2 linked regions of the Struthio camelus genome follow. The protein of the gene in region 1 interacts with the protein of each later gene in a biochemical or structural test. Links are inferred from orthologs where the notes say so. Each region holds a gene or a part of one and is shown on either strand. Other genes may lie near its edges. The genes, in order: SLX4 and EME1.

The links.
Region 2: the proteins of SLX4 (region 1) and EME1 form a complex in vitro, tested with the Homo sapiens proteins (3 studies listed by BioGRID, with this or other methods). The link is inferred for Struthio camelus from reciprocal best matches to the Homo sapiens genes SLX4 and EME1.

Annotation. Positions count from the first base shown.
Region 1 is NC_090956.1:18,639,686-18,648,736, forward strand, and holds the start of SLX4 (structure-specific endonuclease subunit SLX4), read left to right. Parts: upstream 1-5,229; 5' UTR 5,230-5,384; intron 5,385-6,908; exon of another isoform or gene 6,909-9,051. UniProt on the Homo sapiens protein: Regulatory subunit that interacts with and increases the activity of different structure-specific endonucleases.
Region 2 is NC_090960.1:7,781,992-7,791,358, reverse strand, and holds the start of EME1 (crossover junction endonuclease EME1), read left to right. Parts: upstream 1-5,817; 5' UTR 5,818-5,943; coding exon 5,944-6,697; intron 6,698-6,779; coding exon 6,780-6,907; intron 6,908-7,104; coding exon 7,105-7,197; intron 7,198-8,042; coding exon 8,043-8,164; intron 8,165-8,598; coding exon 8,599-8,734; intron 8,735-9,124; coding exon 9,125-9,240; intron 9,241-9,367. Other genes in the region: uncharacterized protein, read left to right, coding at 326-472; MRPL27 (large ribosomal subunit protein bL27m), read right to left, coding at 2,192-2,398, 2,883-2,950, 3,709-3,831, 5,762-5,783. UniProt on the Homo sapiens protein: Non-catalytic subunit of the structure-specific, heterodimeric DNA endonuclease MUS81-EME1 which is involved in the maintenance of genome stability. In the complex, EME1 is required for DNA cleavage, participating in DNA recognition and bending.

The sequences.
Region 1 (9,051 bases):
TAATTTGAAAAGTCCTCCCAGGGCAGTTTTGAGGACAACCTTATCTGGTGAGATGATCATGTACTTTCTCAGTAACTTAGGGTTCAAAAATTCCTAGGATTTCAATAAAGACGTGGAAGCTTGGTTGCTTACTGGAATCATCCTTTACAAAGTTCTTTCCAGTTGGAAACCTACCCAATTGCTTGGGAAAAGGAGGATGGCCAAAAAGGACCTTGCTTTTCTATCTTGCCATCTCGACTGAGAACAGCTCACCTCAAGTTCCTTGGGCACAGTTGAACACAGGTTTTCCTTTTCTTTCATCAGCAGGAAGCTCTATTCCAGAAAAAGTCATTTGCTCTCCTGTTTGCAGAATCATCTTTTGCTTCTCCTTTTCCTTCCCCTCTACATTTACCTCCATCTTCTCTAGAGCCCTTAGTGACTGATGCTGTGGTTGCGATGCAATCCAAGCCAAGAGGGCCTTGACAGTCATTTTCTCATTCTCATCCATGACAGAGGGGTGCTCCCCAGAGTGGCACTCTCTCCCACTGTCAGAGCTGGAGCCCCTTCTGGCAAGAAATCAATCTCAAATCACAAGCCCATTCCCATCTGACTGTTCCAGGAAACAATCCGGAGTGTGAACAGGTGGGACTGGATAAAAAATATGCCCTCAGTCCTGGTCAAAATGGAATAATTGGCAGGAGTGCAAGGACCAAAGGCTTCTGTAAGTACTTAAACTTATAAGGACTCATTGCCCTTAATCTACTTACATGCAGCAGGAAGGATGAAAACTTGGTGAAAGAAGCAGAGTTTCCTCCTCCTTAAGTCTATATGGCAAAACATGTCATAATGAATTGCTCATTAAACATCTCTGCCTGACTTTATTCCAAATGTCAAGATTATTATCTGCATGGGATTTGGGGTCAGGTAATAGCAGTTAACAAGAAGCAGTCTGTGAAGCCAAGCAAAACTTGGTTCTCCTTTTGTAGCCCAAGTAAATGAGGGGTAATTGGGTTAAAACCTGTTCCAGAAAGGAAACTCTGAGAAACTTGGGAAGTCAGAGCTGTGACAGGAGGCAGAGGGAGGTTCAGCTTGAGTTTTGTCTTTGCTAATGTATCTAAATCCCTGGGCTTGTTTTGTCTCAAGTAGTTTAGCAGGTGCTGTAAGTTATCTTGCAATATGCTTCAAGAAATCAAGCCATCAGCATTTTTTTAATTGGGCATTGCTTTTTTAAAGTTTTTAGAGAGACTTTTAGTACACATCTAATGCCCAATGCCCTTATTGATTGCTGGTGATTCTTCTTGGAAATTGTATTTGATTTCACTGTCAAAGAGAACAAGAGAAAAAAATTTATTTTATAACAAATTCATTGGAAGTGTATCCTCTCTAACTTGTGCTGTGTGACTTATGGAACGGGAATGTGCAGTTAATCTGGCAGGTTTACAAGAGGAGACAGGAATATATGCTGGCATGCACCATCCCAAAGTTCACAGTTTAGGGAAAAAAGATAACTATTCTCGAGGAAAATGCTGCATTGTTGCTTGCTTTGTCCTTTCAAGAGAGTCAGTGCACAGAGCATTGTGCTGAGCTCCATCATCCAACATGGTCAAAGCTCATGAGATCCTGTGAAGGGCAGGTTAAACCTAAACTTTACTCAGTCTTCCCATCCACTGTTATTAAACTAGGCCCCTTCACTGCTTCTCTGATGGTTTCTGACCTGGACTGAGCCAATTTGTATTGGAAGCTTCAAAAAGTTAGTCTGAAGTTGCCAAACAGCCACCAGAGTTACAAGTCTTTATAATAGATCAGGGGAACTGCTTGTCACACTGAGCAGAGAGAGCAGAGAGAAACACAAATTTTAAGATGTGCTTAATTTAGCATTCTGGGGATACATGTGTATATGTATAGATGATCTACAATGTGTGCATTTTTTATATATATATGTTTATATATTTAGTGTAAATAGCATTGCACTGTGACTTCAGGCCCAGCTGTTTTTAAAATACTTTTAATATTGGAAATACTGACTATACTGAACACGATCATAGTTATCTAGAGAGAAAGCTCAAAAATAAAGCATGATAGTAAATATCCTGTCCTTTGCAACATATATCAGAAGTGTTGCTATTTCAAGGATCTCTCTGCACCTATATAACTGTGTAATGGGAGGGTACTAATAGTGTGTATTTCTAATTAAGTCAAAATTTTCATGGCAGAGTTTAAAGCACTGGGGCCCTACATTCATGCTTTAGGCATGTCTGTAGAAGTGGCTTCACTTCCACTAGTCTGTGTTTTTCTTACCTCTTCAGTTCTTGAGCCCTGCCAGCCCAGCACGTCATCCCTGTCCCGTGTTACTGCTCCAAACCATTTTTAGCCATTTTTTTCTGGCTGAAGTTCAATAGGAAGCTGTTGTCTCCCAGCTCCCTGCACTGAGCCAGGAGAGCCAGCGCTGCCTGCTTGGCAGGAACCGTGTGTACCCTTACCCCCGAGTCGCTGTCCCTCTCCAGCCCCACTGCCCTCCGGAGGCTCTGGGGCCTCTGGTAGCCAGAAGGTGATATTGCAGCCTCTTGGTCAGCCCTGCTGTGCTGGCAGGCCCTAAGTGAACAGCCACAAACTCCACCAGCTGGGAGAGCTGCGGCTGCTGTTTCAACGCAGAGAAGACTTTGTGATTGGGGGCCGGTCGGTCATCTCTGATGCAGACCTTTTCCTTAACGGGAAGAAAAAGTGAATTCTTAAAAAGATTATTAACGAAAGTCCCGTAGGTCAGCTATCTTCCCCTACATAAATAGGGAATCAGATATCCTGCCTCTGAGCAGCTGCGTGATTTTGGGAGAGCTCCTTCCTCTCTCTATACCTGTTATTGCGGCTGCATCTTCCAGATATTCTTAAGTTCCAAATAGTGAATAAAGCCTTTTGTAGCAACCATGTCCTTGTTGCCGTTCAGCAATGGTTAGAGGCATAGAAATGTCCTGTGAAATAGATACCAGTTTGGTAAGCAGTAGGTATTGTCAAATCTCTGTGCTTTGGAGCTTACCTGTATAAAAATGCCACAATTCAGCTGGTTCTTTTTAAGTGCAGATTTTTAAAAAAATGCAATAGAAGGGATCAAGGTCGCAGTGTTGTCTGGCAGCAGCGGCGTGGAGGCTGGTCTCTAGCTGAAGATGGTGCATGTTCACTGTGTTCAGTGTCAGTTGCTGTAACGCTGCTGGGCAATTTCACGGATCGCAGGTGCGGACAGGGTTTGCAGGCTGTCTGGCTTCTTGTGGAGAAACCGCTTGACGTCCTCTTGCCGCCTACCTCGATGGCATCTATCAAAGAGGACACAGACTTCGGGGCTCAATACCAGCAAGGGTTATGGCTGTAGCTGGGAGGAGAGGAACGCGATCTGGCACTTGCAGAAAGCTTGAGTTTTACCTGGGCTATTTGTCAGGGTCTCCTCTCCTGCTCGTTCCCTGCCTCACTTCATCTATTTGAAAACACAGGTAAGAATATGAAGGCAAAAGTAAGGCTGTTTGGCATAATTTAGTGCTCCCTCTAGATTAGATTCCCTGCTTCTCTAATGCTTAGTTTGGATTTTTATTTTAAACGTTTGGTGCTCAAGAATTGCATTTATGGTATCGTGCAACAAAAAGTTACTGTGACCTGGCTTAGTAGTAATCGTGGAACCAGTGCAATGTCTCAGGACATCATAACTGGAGTATTTTCAGTATGTTTGTGCAATATTTGCTTCTAAGTTATTGCAGGATTTTCTTAAGAGCGCTTCTAATTCCCATAAAGCGTAGCAACTTGAGAGAGGACTCGAATAAACTAGCAGACGTGTTGAAAGACACAAACCAAAGGATTTCTTCATATCAGTTTTGGTTCTGGTTCTGCCATGCGGACATGGGCAGATTCTGTCTCCTGGGGAGATTCACTGCATAAAATATTCTGTTAAATCTTGCCAAAATCACCAAGGGCGCTGCTTTTTGCTTAACATTCAAGCTAAAATTGTTTGAATTCAGCATGGATTAAAAATTAAATTGCTTTACTGGTACTGAAAAAATATGGTGTCTCAGTAGCTCATTTTGTTTTAAAAGTTGTAGTTTTTTTTTTTTCCCTAGAAAATTTCCAAACTGGCAAGACTATAACAGTGTCAAATTGTTGTGGTAATGTCAAATTTTAGGGATCAAGATGTAATTACGGAAAAATAAATGCTGATGCACATAAAGGAGCCATCAGGATGCTTACATTTAGTAGCATTATTGTTAGTAAAGTACTTGATGTTTTTGAAGCAAACTAATAGGGCTGTCCTTAGCAGCATATGGAAGACGCTGTGGCTGTCAAACGTCTGTATGCCCATTCAGAAACGTTACCTAGTAGTAGCCTTGGGTCTTACTGCATCCATGCCAAGCTTTAAGGAAAAACTCCGCTTCCGACACAGAAACCTGCACTGAGAACGGAAACCCAGCGTAGGAAGAAGCCCCCTGCCTCTCTGGTGCTTTGATTACCTGAAGACCTTTAGCCACAACTAACTGCTCACCTGGAGGAAATTGCTTTTGAACACAGCTCAGAGTTTAAAATTCAGTATGAGATCTCAGAGCCTGGACTGAGCGGTGTGAAAGCTTGACATCCATTTTCCTTTTCGACCCCAGGTAGTAAAAAGTACGAAATACGAAGGTAACGCTCTCTCGCTTGACCCAGGAGCCCGGGGAAGCTGGAGGTACAGCGCTGCTCACCTTCCGTGTCAGTACTGCCACCCATGTCCTGCTGAGGACCAAACCGCTCGTTACATCCCCAAAGCACTACAATTATATTGGTCTTCAGCGGCGGCTTTGTAGCCCACCAATGAGTATAGGGCAGGTTTTATCCGGGCAGCTGAAGGAGTGAGTTTTTGGCGCTCACAAGCAAATGTTACGTCTTTATGTCCTCAACATTCATATGCTTCTACAGCTGCGTGTTTCCAAGGATTTTAATTCTTTTCAAAAAAAAAAAAAGGGCAACGCTCTGCTACATGTTTTCACCTGAGACCTGTTCACCTGTGTGGCAGCCGCGGGCCCCGCTCAAGCGCTCCTGTATTTTACTCTTCCCGCGGTTGCGGCGGGGGGCGGCGGGGCTGCCCGCCCCGGGGCGGGTTTCCCTCAGCGGCCGCCGCCCACCGACGCGCGGCGCGGAAGGGCCGCGAGCAGCCGGCGACCGTTGGGCCGGCTGACGGCGGGCCGTCACCATGGCAACCGCTCCCGCGGCGGGAAACCTTTGCGCCTGCGCGGGGAAGGCGCGGCCCAGGCCGAGCGCGCGTGCGCAAGCCGCCCGGGAAGGGGGGGTCGGGGAGACGGTTGGCGCGCGGCGCATGCGCTTCGCCTCAGTGTCGGCGCTCCCCGCCGTTGTGGCAGGGCGCGAGGAGCGGAGGGAGCCCGTGGCCCGGCGGAGAGGTCAGCGCCGGGCGGCGGGCCGGGGGCGGCTGTGGCGGCGGGCCGAGCGGGCGCGGCGGCACCGGGCGCTCCGCCCTGTCAGCGGCGGCCGCGCGGGCCGCGCCTCTGTGGGGCCGGCGGCGGGCGGGCGGTTGGCGTGACGTCACTCCGCCGCCGCCGCCATCGGCGCTCCCCGGCGCGGCGCCACCTGCCGGCGGGGAGGCGGCGGCGCCGCGGCCTGCGAGAGAGGGCGAGGTGCGGAGCTGGGTCGCCGCGGGCCCCTCGGGCCTGGACAGGGCGAGGCGCTGCCGGCGGGGGCGGCATGGGCCCCGCGCCTGCACCCGCCCCGGGCGCTTCCAGCCGGGCCGCGGGGCCCTGACGCCTTGGGGGAGGCTGCTTCGCGGGCCGCGGGGTCGGACTCCGAAGGGCAGCTCCTTGCTGCGCTGCGGCCGCCCCGTGGGGCGAAGCCTCAGCCCTTGGCGTCACCTGCCGTCAAAAGCAAACAAGAGTTGGGGGTCAAGCGGAGCCGAAGTTGTTCAATGGAGGGCCGGATAAGGCGGGTGCGCCGTCGGCGGCGGCCCTGCGCCAAGGTGTGCCTGATGTCAGCCGGCTGGGTGTTCCAGGCAAACTCCCCGCGCCACGCTGAGCGCGGCGGTAACGTCCAGGGCTGCTGGGGAGATCCAGTAAAAACTGAAACAACCGTCAACGATTCTGTTGGCTGCTTCGTGAAGCAATAAAGAATTGTATCTATCGCTTCCAGGCCCAAGGGGCCTGGGGCAAAAGGGCCCACCTTGAGCGGAAACAGGCAGTGCTGGCTGTTCTAATGGCAGGACTGTGCCCCTGATCCTGCAGATGTGCAGGTGCACATCTAGTAGCCATGATGATCTTAAATAAAGCAGAAATTGTGCATTTGCAGGGCTAAAATATTTCTTATTTGTAATAAATAGTTTGATGCTAGTAATGCCCGAAGGCAACAACTTTAATTCATGCTCAGTCTACTGGCTGCTGTATAAACTCAAAAATCGTAGGCTGGGTACAGTCGCTGCTCTAATTACAAAAAGATCCTGGTTTGGTTAGCTTTCACATCTCCTTCAGATCCTACTCCTCATCTCCCTCCTGGTCCGTCCCCTCCCCTTTGGTTTGGCTGTTTGGCTTGAAACAGTTTTCTCTGTATCTAGGAAATGTTATATTGCTTTGCACTGTGGGGATGTGTCAGCAGCAGATTGGAAACAGAAACAAAAGAAATTTTATCATAAGCTTTACATTCGGAAGAAAACGGACCTCAAGTTCTTCTGAGCGTTTGCTTTTCCCACTGGCTCAATTTTTGTTAAAGCTTTTTCCAAAGGAGGTGTCAAATGGTAGAAAATAGCAATTTAAACAGGATATTTGACACTTTATTGTGCGCTCGTGAACCTCCAACTATGCTTCGGGGTCCTCAATTGTGTTTAAGGCCCTTCCTCAGAGTTTCTAGAAAGAATTTTCCTGAAAGCTAAACATAGAGGAACTGACTTAGTAGTCTGTGAGCTGACCTCTTGCTCTTATTAGTAGGCTACGGAACAGACACATTTATGCATCCCTGAGATTATTGGTGTGATAACCAGAGGTTCCTGGAGTGCTCATATCAAGTTTGTAGGTAATGATATATTTATATATTGAGGATGTCAAGGACTTAAGTTAGTAAAAGGAAAAAGTAGTTTAATGTAAAGACATGTAAAAATCTATTCTGAGAACTGTAAACCAAGCCTATCTACTTCCAATATACTTTGTTAGTATGGAGAACAGGTATGATAGGGCAGAATCAGCTTAAAGCAATTTACCTACAAGATACTATGTTATGTATTTTACTGTAGCTCTTATATATTATTTTAGCTGGGAAGAGAGCAAATTATACATTACTGTAAATTAATTAAATGTTAGTGTAAAAGACCTAGGTTTAGTCTGCCTGTGGAAATCTGTGATGAATTTGGTCACCTTTCAAAGCAGGTATCTTACTGTTGTGGAGAATGCGGAAAAATCAAAATACTGTGTTAAATTTCACTATATGTTTGGCTTTTGTGATGACATAGATTTTGACATAATCTAAAATCAGAAGATAAACTTTTTGAAAACTATTGATAGAATGTACATTGTTTTAAGTAACCATCCCCTTCAGTATTTAATGCCCTTTAGAATAACACTGCACTCTTGAAAAGAAATGGCTTGCATATTTAACAATAAAATCTTCTTATTTCTCTTTATAGTCACTTCCTCACTGATTATTCAGTTGATCTCTTTCCACAAACATCTGTAACTCTTGATTGCTGTGTTCTTGATCATTCTTTATCCTACCAAATGATGGAATCCTCTGAAATGATCAAAATTGTTGCTGTCTGAGTTGGGTCAGAAACCTGGGGTAAGGTAACAGTGTGGTCACTCGTGATGGAGTAGGTAAGGCTTTTTTCTTTGTGCCGAAAGGGCAGTTGGAAAGAAAGTCTTTCCTAAGCTATGTGCTGCTAATGCTGCGTTATCTGTAGGTAACCTCTCTGGTTTGTGAATGAATTGTGCTACAGGTTCACTGTAGCAATGCCGCTGCTGTTTTCACTAGTGCCAAGCAGGAAACACAACCTTTTGGCTGCTCTACTTACCAAGGTGGCCACAGAATCAGATACGGACCCTCCCATTAGTCTGATGTCAGGGCTCTTAACTCCTTTGTAGTTACTGGATAGACTTGCCTATCCTGTGAGTATGGCCTGTGCTCCTGTTCCTAAAATATGACTTTGTATTGAGATTTATATTGCATGCCTGTGCTAGTTTGTCACGCGGTGTGCGTTGTTCTGCCTCAGTCTGTCATCAACGCTGTCTAGCAGGTCCCTTGTTCGTGTCATCAGACAGCTTGATCAGTGGTAGTTGATGTCTCTCCTAACTCCTTTCCTAAGTCTAAATAATAGAAAAACAAAACAGGCTGTGAGTGAATCTCTGGGATCATACTAGGAACATACATATTCAACGATTGCTCTTCGTTGCATTTTGAAACCTTTATGGCAGCTAGATTTTAATCGTTTTAAATGTGTGTAGTGTTGACTTTGTATGATTTTAATTAATCAGTTTGTCCCTGTTACTACCTTAGCGGTTTACAAAATGCTTACACCTCTTAGCATACAGAGGTCTCATTAAAAAGATACTAAGTTAACACAGGAGATGGTGTTTTTCATAACACTGTGTTGATTCATATTAATTTGTTATCCGTCTTCCGTTATCAAGTCCCATATAAGCTATTGCGTTAACAGCCTGGCGTTGATCTCAGTCTGAAAGAGGGGTGTTTACTTCCCAGATCGTCCTTTTGAAAGATCACAGTTAGCAGTCTAGAGAGCTCTTAGCCAGTCTTCCCGGAACGTCTTGCAGTTTATCTGATTCTGTTGATAGAAATACCTTCAGGAGCTGCAGTTTAGTAGTCTTTGGGTTACTGTTGGAGTAGACGAATTTCATCATCGTTATGTGATAGATACTATGAGAACATTTAGTTCTGCGTATTCTGAGGTAGTATTAACAGCGCTACAGTTCATTTAATAATGATCCGATAGTGCTGTTAGGTTTTTCTGTTTTTGATGTACACCAAAAGCTCCTTTTGAATGTCCTTAACTTTTCTGACCAGAAAATTAATGTTGTATAATTCTACTTCCTTCTCATTTTAATACAATTTATTTTTATA
Region 2 (9,367 bases), on another chromosome or scaffold:
CAGGCCAGTATTGGCACAGCTGGCTTTACCAGTCATGGTAGCAGTGAATAAGCCCTGCCATGAACTGCAGTGGGAGCTCTGCCACAACATCCACTGTGCCACTGCTGTCGTTCTCTGTGGGAAGAGAGAGAAAGCTAGCCCAGCTCTGCCAAAATATAAAGTAACTAAAGCCCAGAGTTTCTCTTTTGCTGCTATACAGTGAGACTTGCTATCAAAATCTGGAAAGTCTGGTTTCTAGGTGCTTATATAAACAGAAGAGGAAGAGGTGGGATAATCTCCTTGCTATTTCTGATCCGCTGTAATACTTTTCCTCTCTCCTTCGTAGATGCCACCTCCCTACGAGCATGCTCTAAGGCATCCTCCAGCTTTCTCAGGAACAGTAGTAAGCTCAGAGACTTTGGACAGACATGGCATGCCAGACCCTTTCCAGGCCCCTCTCAGCTACCAAACTCAGAGAAACACAGCAGTGTAAGGACTCAGCCTCAAGATACTCCTTCCCATGCTGTCAGTGACAGAAGTGCCTGTGACATCGTTCTTGTCTGCAGGGAACAGCTAAACCTTAGACCTTCACAATCAGCTGAGAAACACACAGGCAAGTCGGACCCAGCCATTGGAGACTTCCATCCTGCAGCCCAAGGATAAAAGCGGGGCCGCCTCTAAACATTGCTCTTTGTCCAGAATAACCAGCGACGTCTGCTTGCTCTTCTCTCTGGCAAACATACTGTTACCAGAGAGCTACTTTGTTCTACACGGGGAGCAAAGCAAAGGTGAAGGTCTGCTCAGCTTGAGCCTGTTGAGGCAGCTGAGTGTAACATACCTCTGTGAGGCTGTGGCAAGTACTGCCAAACATACTAAGTGTTAGACCTCAGAAGGTGGTCGTGTTCTACTACTTCACTTATTTCTTAGGTTATAAAATGGTTTTCTTTATCAGCGTATCAGGTACCAGGTGGGAGTCCTGACCTGAGAGTAACAGAATGAATCTGCATCAGAGCATCACTATGTGCTCTCACAGCAACATTCCTCTGGGATATAGAACAATTTTGTATGAACTTGAGATAAAGATTCAGGTGTCCAGGAGATTCCAGTTTCAAGATCCAGGAGCTTGTGTTACTTGCAGTGCTGTATGCAGAGACTGGCAAGACGAACTGTGTGACTGGACATGCAGCTGGGAAAGGATAGAAGCATGGAGGGAATAGCCGCTGGTCTCTAAGAAGGACATAAAGAAACAAAGGTGGAAATATGTGGTTAACCCAGTCTACTTAGTTTTCTTTTGCAGAGCAGACAATCTAGTAATGTTAACGCTGGTGTCATTACACCACTGATTTTAATATCCTGTTTTCTACTGCAAAACAATTGTTTCAAAAATTGTTTACAAACCTGTAGATAAAGTGAGATCTGATTGGCCACCAGGCATCTGCGCTCCTGTCTTTTGAGCAGCATGAACAACCATGGAATGACTCATAGAAAAGATAAAAGGGTAGTCTGGATTACGGCTTTATGAGGTACCTCATGGCCTCCAGCAGCTGAGTTTCAAATACCATCCCAGGCTTGTGCACCTTACCAGGCACTCATGACTAATTATTTAGAGTTAGCTTTAGGAATGTAAACTTGCCTCATGTGGCTAGTAAATGGAACACTTTCAGGGATCGTATTGGAGTTAATAACTAACTCATCTCACTGATTAAGAAAAAACACTAGCTTCCTGGGATGCAGAGTTAGGTGCTAGTGGAAGAGGCTATGTCCTCTTCTGCAATATCTACAATTAAGATAGATACAAATATAACAGTAATGTCTAAAAATCATTAAAACTTGAGAGGGAATTATTAGTGGGAAAATAACCGATATAAGAGTGATTGTGAAGTTAACTAATCTAAGGAAACAGTGGAACAGGTTCTCCAGAAAAAGACAGCTCCACTTACTAAATGAGCATAAGCAACATAGATTCCGTGAACAGTCAAGATACTCAAGAAACCCATAGCATTTATTAAACCCTCTTATAAATGCCAGCAGGTGATTCCTGTGCCCAAGCACCAATCACATGCACTTTAGGAGCAAGAAGAGAGTCCTACACAAATATTTTCAGAGCTAGAATATTCTTCGAGGTATGTGGTATCCTAGGATGCCAGACCAGCTATAGTGATCTGTCCCAGCAGTTCTTCCCCATCTGCTGCTCCTAGATCGCACGGGAGGCTCAAAGCATGTTGACCAGTTTGAAGCTTCCTACTTCTGTGGTAGGGATAACACTGATGAAGGTTTTGTAAAGAATCGCTCCTTTAGGTAGACGGCAGATCACCTCCCTGCTCTCGCTGCTGCGGGGCGGAGGTACATAGACCTCTTTGGTGTATCTCACAATGCCATCCTCCAGAGCATAAAGTGTCTTGTTACGGCCTATCCCCACCTGGAAGAGGACAAGCACACTGTTAGAAAGGAAAGGCTGGAGGTACACCGCAGAAGCAGATCTGATCATCAGACTGCCTTGTTTGATATCCTGGTTTCAAAAGCAGCTGCTGCTTTGTATTTTAGAATGAAAGAAAACCACATTGCTTTGCTTCCAGCAAACAGTAGGTAATGTTTTTTATTACAAGGGAGGAGATACCAATTCCACCCTTAAGTATACCCTTAAGAGCCCAATTAGGTTACAGAAGTCTTTCAGGATATTCATAACTCTCAGTCCTTTCCCAAGTCACATGGGCACAGATATGATTCTAAGCAGGCTTTGTGACTAAGAAATAGAAGGCAGTGAAACCAGTTTTCAGGATTACATGGAAAATTGGGGAGGAAATTAAGAACCAGCTTGTAAGAAGCAGCATTGACTACTGGACTCTGTTGTGGGCTGCTGCTGTCCTCTTGAGAACTGAGGAAGAGCTGGAAAAGCAACTTACATGAGCCCCTGGGTGCCAGCGTATCAACCGCTGCGTAGCCAAAGTGTTGCCTGCGTGCACAAATGTACCTGCAACAGAGTTGCACAGTCAGATTGCAGAGGAATGGAGCTCCCTGGAGCTCGCAGAATACAAACAGTTCTGGAACTTATAAAACCAGCTTTCTGTGAGATTTTTCTAAAGAAAAATGACTTCAAATTCTAAAAGCATCTAAACAAAAATGCTATTGGCAAGAAATAGAAGGCAATTGATACATAATGTCAAAGAGCAATTCTAATCTTTGAAAAGATTACTTGTAGGGCAGAAGGCATTTTCTGTTTGCTCAGGGCATTTGTTTTATTACCTCTTACATTGATCTGTTTTCATCAGCAAACCTACTAATTATTAAGCACTCAACTATAAGAATCTTGTACTTTGGCTTCTGCTAAGCCTCATAATTCTCCCCTTTGTAAACATCTAAAATGCCCAGCTTTTGAAAACAGCATGGGGTGAAAGTGCATTGGAGTTATCAGGTGCCCCACAGTGTACCCCTCCTCCCAGACTCTCTAGAGAGAGGCAAAGTTAGAATCAAAGTATGTTTTCTATAGGCAATTTCAGCTGGCTGCATGGAGGCCCACCTGAGAGGGAGGCTGACTCACCCTGCCCTCCTGCTGGTGACTGGTGTAATTATGGATGGTGAGGCTTTGCTCAAACTCCTGTTTCCTTTCTCTTCTTTTCACCTCCTTCTGAAACACTCAGCAGTTACACATCTAACAGCCGTAGCAGGGGATAACCTGTGGAGAACCCACTGTAACACACATAAGGCTACTAAGCAGATGCCTTTACCTACCATCTACTTTTTTGGCTCCATAGCGTTTCCCAGGGCTGCGGCCACCTAAATTTTTTGAGCTGCCTCCAGCTTTCTTAGAAGCACATCTCACAGCAACCAGGCTTGTTCGCGGAGCAGCTAGAACTAGATTCAGACCAAGAACAACAACAACAAAAATCTCAGCTGAAAAAAAATCTTAATACTCTTCCTTTAAATCTTGAAAAAAAGACTGTCAATCAGTATACGTTTTAAAGCTAGAGGCAAAAGAAAGCCCTGAGGGAAAATATTACTACAAAGGTATATCATGGATAGACCACTGTAGACTAAATCTTCTGCAAAGAGGCCACGTTTCAAGAACTGCTGCTACCCAGGGAAGAATAAAACTCTCAGCAATGATGTTAAAGGACATATACAAATTCATATTTCAGTAATGCCTTATAAATCCATGAGCTACAGAAGTTACTGGTTGCTATGGATTGGCCTTACATAGCTTTGAGAAAAGACAAATTGTGATCTGTGTTTTGGTCTCCCCTTCAACTGAATTGGATTTACTTAAACAGTCTCATCTATAAGACTACAAAATGTTAAGACTGCCATTCAGGAAAGTATGTAAGCATAAATATAGTTACTATCCTGAACAAAAACTAATTTAAGCATTTTATGCAGCTCCTTGAGTTACAATCAGGACAAGTCAAGGAAAAAGAAAGCAGTTATTACAGTAACCATTATCTCTGGAACACAAAATATCATTCACGCTACAAAGCTCTTTCTTAAAAAGAGGAAAAGCACTTTTGAGTAAATACACTGATCTTCTTATCAAGAGAGCTGACCCTTCAGTGAACTTCTCTCTGTAAAAAAATGACTGAGATATAATAACTTCTTTTTACAAGTCTCTTTAGTTCCCTTTTACTTGCAGTTAGCAGCCATACCTAATTTTTTTTCTAAATCCAAATCTAAATTCAACCTCTTCAGCAGCAAGTTAGTAAAGAAGAGTAGCAGTCATAAAATTCTCATTTCCTTATTCAGAGTAGAAGCACTGAGTTAGTTTAATCTTAATTAAATTATCACAGATACTCAATGAGCTAAAATATCCCAGAGAGGAGGGAAATAGCTCTACAAAGAATGGTTAACTTTGATGCTTGATACTCACTGAGTACAAAAAAAAAAGCTGAGGCGTGACAAACTGCAGAGAAACGGGGAAAGATGGAAGGGGGTTTGCAGTTTCACATATATGCAAATTCTACTAAGTTAGAATCCAGTTAACTTTTATCAAAGAAAAAAAAACTGCAGTTGATTCCAAAGTTACATTTTGTGTTGAATGAAAAAAGCTGGCTAACCAAAAGTAAACCTCAATGCATCAAACATGGGGGGAAAGCAGTCTATCCACAGAGTGAAACAGCAAGGGACAGAGTTTGCAATTTAATAAAAATTACACTGGAAATCAACGCGGGAACTTCAAAACACTGACCTCCAGACAGAAATTATGACAGTATTCCTGACTATAACGTTTCTGAATAACAAAAGGGATTTCTAGGCCTCCTGGCTCTTGCAGTGCACAGGGATAGAGCGCCCCCCCTTGCTCTTTGATCTCCACACAGTAGAAATAAATAGCGTTTTTCCAAAATTGACTTTTTCCCCCTTGAGGACAGTCAAGCCGTGGAAGAGGCTGCCCAGAGGATTGGTGCAAGTCTCCATCCTTGGAGACCTTTGGAGACCAGAACGGAAAAAGCCCTGAGCAACTCGGCCTGAGCTCAGAGCTGGCCCTGTTTTGAGCAGGACGGACCGGCGACCTCCCGAGCTCCTCGACCACTGAGATCCCAACCCCACCCCGTGACGGGGCAGCCGCCCGGATGCAGACACCGGGGCTGACGCCCTCGCCCGACACCGCCAGCCCCGCGGCCGCTCACCCCGGCCCTGCGGAGCCCACGCAGGCGAGCCGGCGGCCTGAGGAGAGGGGAAGACCTCAGGATCGGTGGCGCCCACCCGCGAGAACGGGCCTCCCCTCGGGCCACCACCCCTCTCCTCAGCCGGGCCCAGGCTCCCACCCGCGGCCCCTTACAGCCCTTTCACTCACGCAGCTGCCTCAGCGCCGCCATCTTCCCCCGGCGCTGCGTCGCCTCCGCTTCCGGCGCGCGCGCGCGCGCGACCGTTAGGGCCAACGGCCGCCGGCGCGAGCGCGCGCGCGTTCGAACCAACCGCCGCCCGCGCGGCCGTTACTGCCTTCTCCCTACCCGCCCCGGGGCAGGACCGCTGAGGATGGCGGCGGAGAGCGACGAGGAGGTGCTGCCTACCTTCTCCTTCCTGCAGCAGGCGCCGCCGGCCGTCGCGGCCTGCAGCTCGGACTCCGAGCCGTCCTCGCCTCCTTCTCCGAGGCGGGGAAGGGCCTCGCGTAGCCAGGCCGCCGCGGAAGACGTTGTGATGCTGAGCAGTGACAGCGAGAGCGACGTAGAGCTCGTCCCGCTGTCGGAGAGGCTAAAGAGGAAACCGCGCCCCAGCGGGCTCTGCGCAACGGGGGTTGTGCCTGTCGAGGCCCCCCAGCTGGGCAGCAGGGATACTGCAAGCCCAGCTGGGGGAACTGGGCTCTGCCAGAGCGCTGGCCAGTTGGCTCCTGGCAGCAGAGGACAGCATCTTCCAGAGTCCTCTGAGGTCCCGAGAGCCCTGGCACCGTCCGGAGAAATGTTTTATAGGAGCCCAAATGATGACGTGCGCGGTTCTGGCAGACCACCTTTGTGCCCGCTGGCAGACTGCTTGTCTGATTCCGCAGCCCAAAGTAGCAGGTTGTTGGGAAAAGAAGCAAGTCTGGAAACATCTCCTCCTCCAAAGAAGTCAAAATATAGTCAGAAGGAAAGGGAGACAGTCTCTCAGGCTGCATGGCAGAGGAGGAAGGAGCGCGAAGCACGGAAGAGGCAGCAGGAGCAGGAAAAAGAGAGGAGGAAGGCCCTTGCCAAGACGTTGAAAGCTCAGCGTCCTGGGGAGTGCCAGAAATACATAACAGTGGTGCTAGACCCAGGTACTTTTCCCCACATCCTGCATCTGCCTTATATGAATTATCAACTCTTGCTATGGAAGCCTGACCCATGCACCAATTTCAGTTCTCTTACAGGTAGAAGGTGGTGGACAGGTCCTCAGTTCTTTGCAGTCTGGGAATTATTCCTGTGTGATTGAGAGTCAGACTGTTCCCTGCAGCATCACTTGGCGGAGAAGGGCTGTGTCATCTCAGGTGTGGGAGCAAAATCTTGATGTTCTTGCCTTTTTCTTTGACTCCTATTTGAACTAGATAGTAGTAGTTATAAGCAACCCAAGTAACTGCCTTCCAAACTTTTTCCTATCTTGGAGCTCTGAGTGAGAGCACCAGTCTGAGTGAGCTGAATTATAGACAGACGATTGGTCTGGTTTTTTGTTTTCATATCTGGGCAGATTCAAGAAGAAAGTGGATGGACGGAAGAACCGAATGTCCTGGTTCTGCTTCGCTTGGAGGAGTTTTTGTTCATGGTTCACAACTACAAACAAGTGAGACTGCTTATGACTTTTTCATACTCTCAGAATATGTCTTGCTGAAAGGGTGGTATTTGTCGTCTCTTTTCACGGCAGTAAGGTTTTAACGTGGGAAGGAAGCTATGGTTCCAGTAAAGTATAAATCTGATTTTAGAAGCCGTTACTGGATCAAAACCAGCAAGGCTGTATGATGCAAAGCTCTTACCTGGTACAAACCTTCTCCGCTAATTACAATTTTTCATAGATTTTTTGAAGAGGAAATGTTGTCCTAATAGATATTGAAAGATCAAGGATGGTCTTTGCTGCTATAGCTTTACACTGGATCAGGCGTTATCTGTTTGCTTACAGCCGCTAAATAGCCAATATAAACAGTGCTTTGTGTACTTTTGTTAATGAGACAGGTATACATTTTTGTGCTCATGCCTGTTCTCAAATTAAATATGTATTTCAAGAATATCAGACAGTACACAGATCTGATACTGGTAAGGGTGGAATCCAGACCTCAGTAGAAAGAGAAAAATCCTGATTCAAAACTCTATGAATATCCAGCACTGAGAATCTTTTTGAATTGACATGATTAGACTCTCCTTTTCTGCTATGTTGGAAGGAGGCTTGAGACATACGCAAGCTTCTTTGCTTAATCGGCCAGCTGGGTGTCCCTCCAGAATAGGAAACTAAACCTTAGTCCTGTGGGATAGACCTTTTCTTCTGCAAAGATCCAGTTGCACAATTGGGGCCATAGGTTGTTCTATCCTAAAGCTAGGACAGAAGGCCTATATAGGCTGGCCTATATAACTCAGAATTTTTTAAACCCCCCCCTCCCCCCCGTTTTTTTTTTTTTTTTCTGTTGATCTTTGCAGGAAGTCCAGGGCTGCACAGAAGGACAGAAGGAGACACTACAGAGTTTTGTTGCTCATGTGATGGAGAAAATGCCTGGGAAGATTCTGGCACTGGCAGTGGTTGAAGTAGAAAATTATTTCAGGTTAGGCTTTTTTCCCTTGTCTTTGGCACTGAAAAATATAATAGGTATTTACATTAATTCCTTCTAGCAAAGACTGGAACATAAGAAGTATTCCTACCCAAAACTGTTCTACTATTTGTTATAGAAGAACAGAAACAAAGGTCCACCTAGCCTATCACCATGAGTGACCAACAGCAAATATCTAGGGAAGAGCATGAGGAGAGGGGAAAAAATGTAGGATACTTCCTTTGAATACCTTCCTAGCTTCCAAAAATTTGTTGCTGAGGCGTTTTCGTAATCAGATGTAATGTTTTTGTGTTTAATAGTCCTTGACAGTTTCTTCTATTTGGCATCCCCTAGTAGGGGTGCTGACACTAAGTTATTAGGCACTCCACAGCAGCCTGATCTTCTGTGCTATTTGTGCTGACGTGAACTCCTTATCTTCCTCTTCTTAGATCTCTCAGAGCTCAGTCAAAAAAGAGACTGCAACAGGCAGCAGTGAATGGAGACCAAGCAGAGGAACAGGGAAAACGGAGAAAAAAGAAAGCTAAGGATTCTGGCCCGGATGTGTCCAGACTAGATGTGGAAGAAGTGAGTACCTTTAGAACAGGCATGCAGTAGTCGTCTCTGTTCCTGTCTGCCCTTGACTGAGCGTTTGACCCAATCATGCTTTTTCTTGGGTGGGGGAATTCAGCCTTTGTGCACATCAGCGCTGAACTGGAATGGGTGGCCTGCATGTAACGAGAGCCCTCCACTGAGGAGCTAAGTCAGCTGAAGTGGCACTAACCTGCTATTCCACAAGCAGGAGACCAACTGCCCCTACATACCTTAGTGCCTCAAGCTAGCTGTTCACGTACTGGGGAGAGTGTGCATGGTCTTGTCCTATAGCAAGGTGTGATGACACTTTTTGTATCAGACGAGCAGAGTCTGATGGGATAAGAGGATGAATTGTTCCATTATTGTTTCCGCTGTTGTTTACAGGCGCTGGTGGATCTGCAGCTGCACACGCAAGTCCAAGTCAGATTTGCTGAGAGCTGGGAGGAACTCGGAGAGTTTGTCAGTATGTTCACTAAAGCAGTAGCTGAAGCACCGTACAAGTGAGTAAGCAGATGAGACTTTGAAATATCTTCTTGGGAGAGGCTTTACTTTCAAGATTACTGGGAGGGAATAACAAGTATACAGCTGTACTGAAGTACAATACAGTATAATGCATTTTAAAGGAGC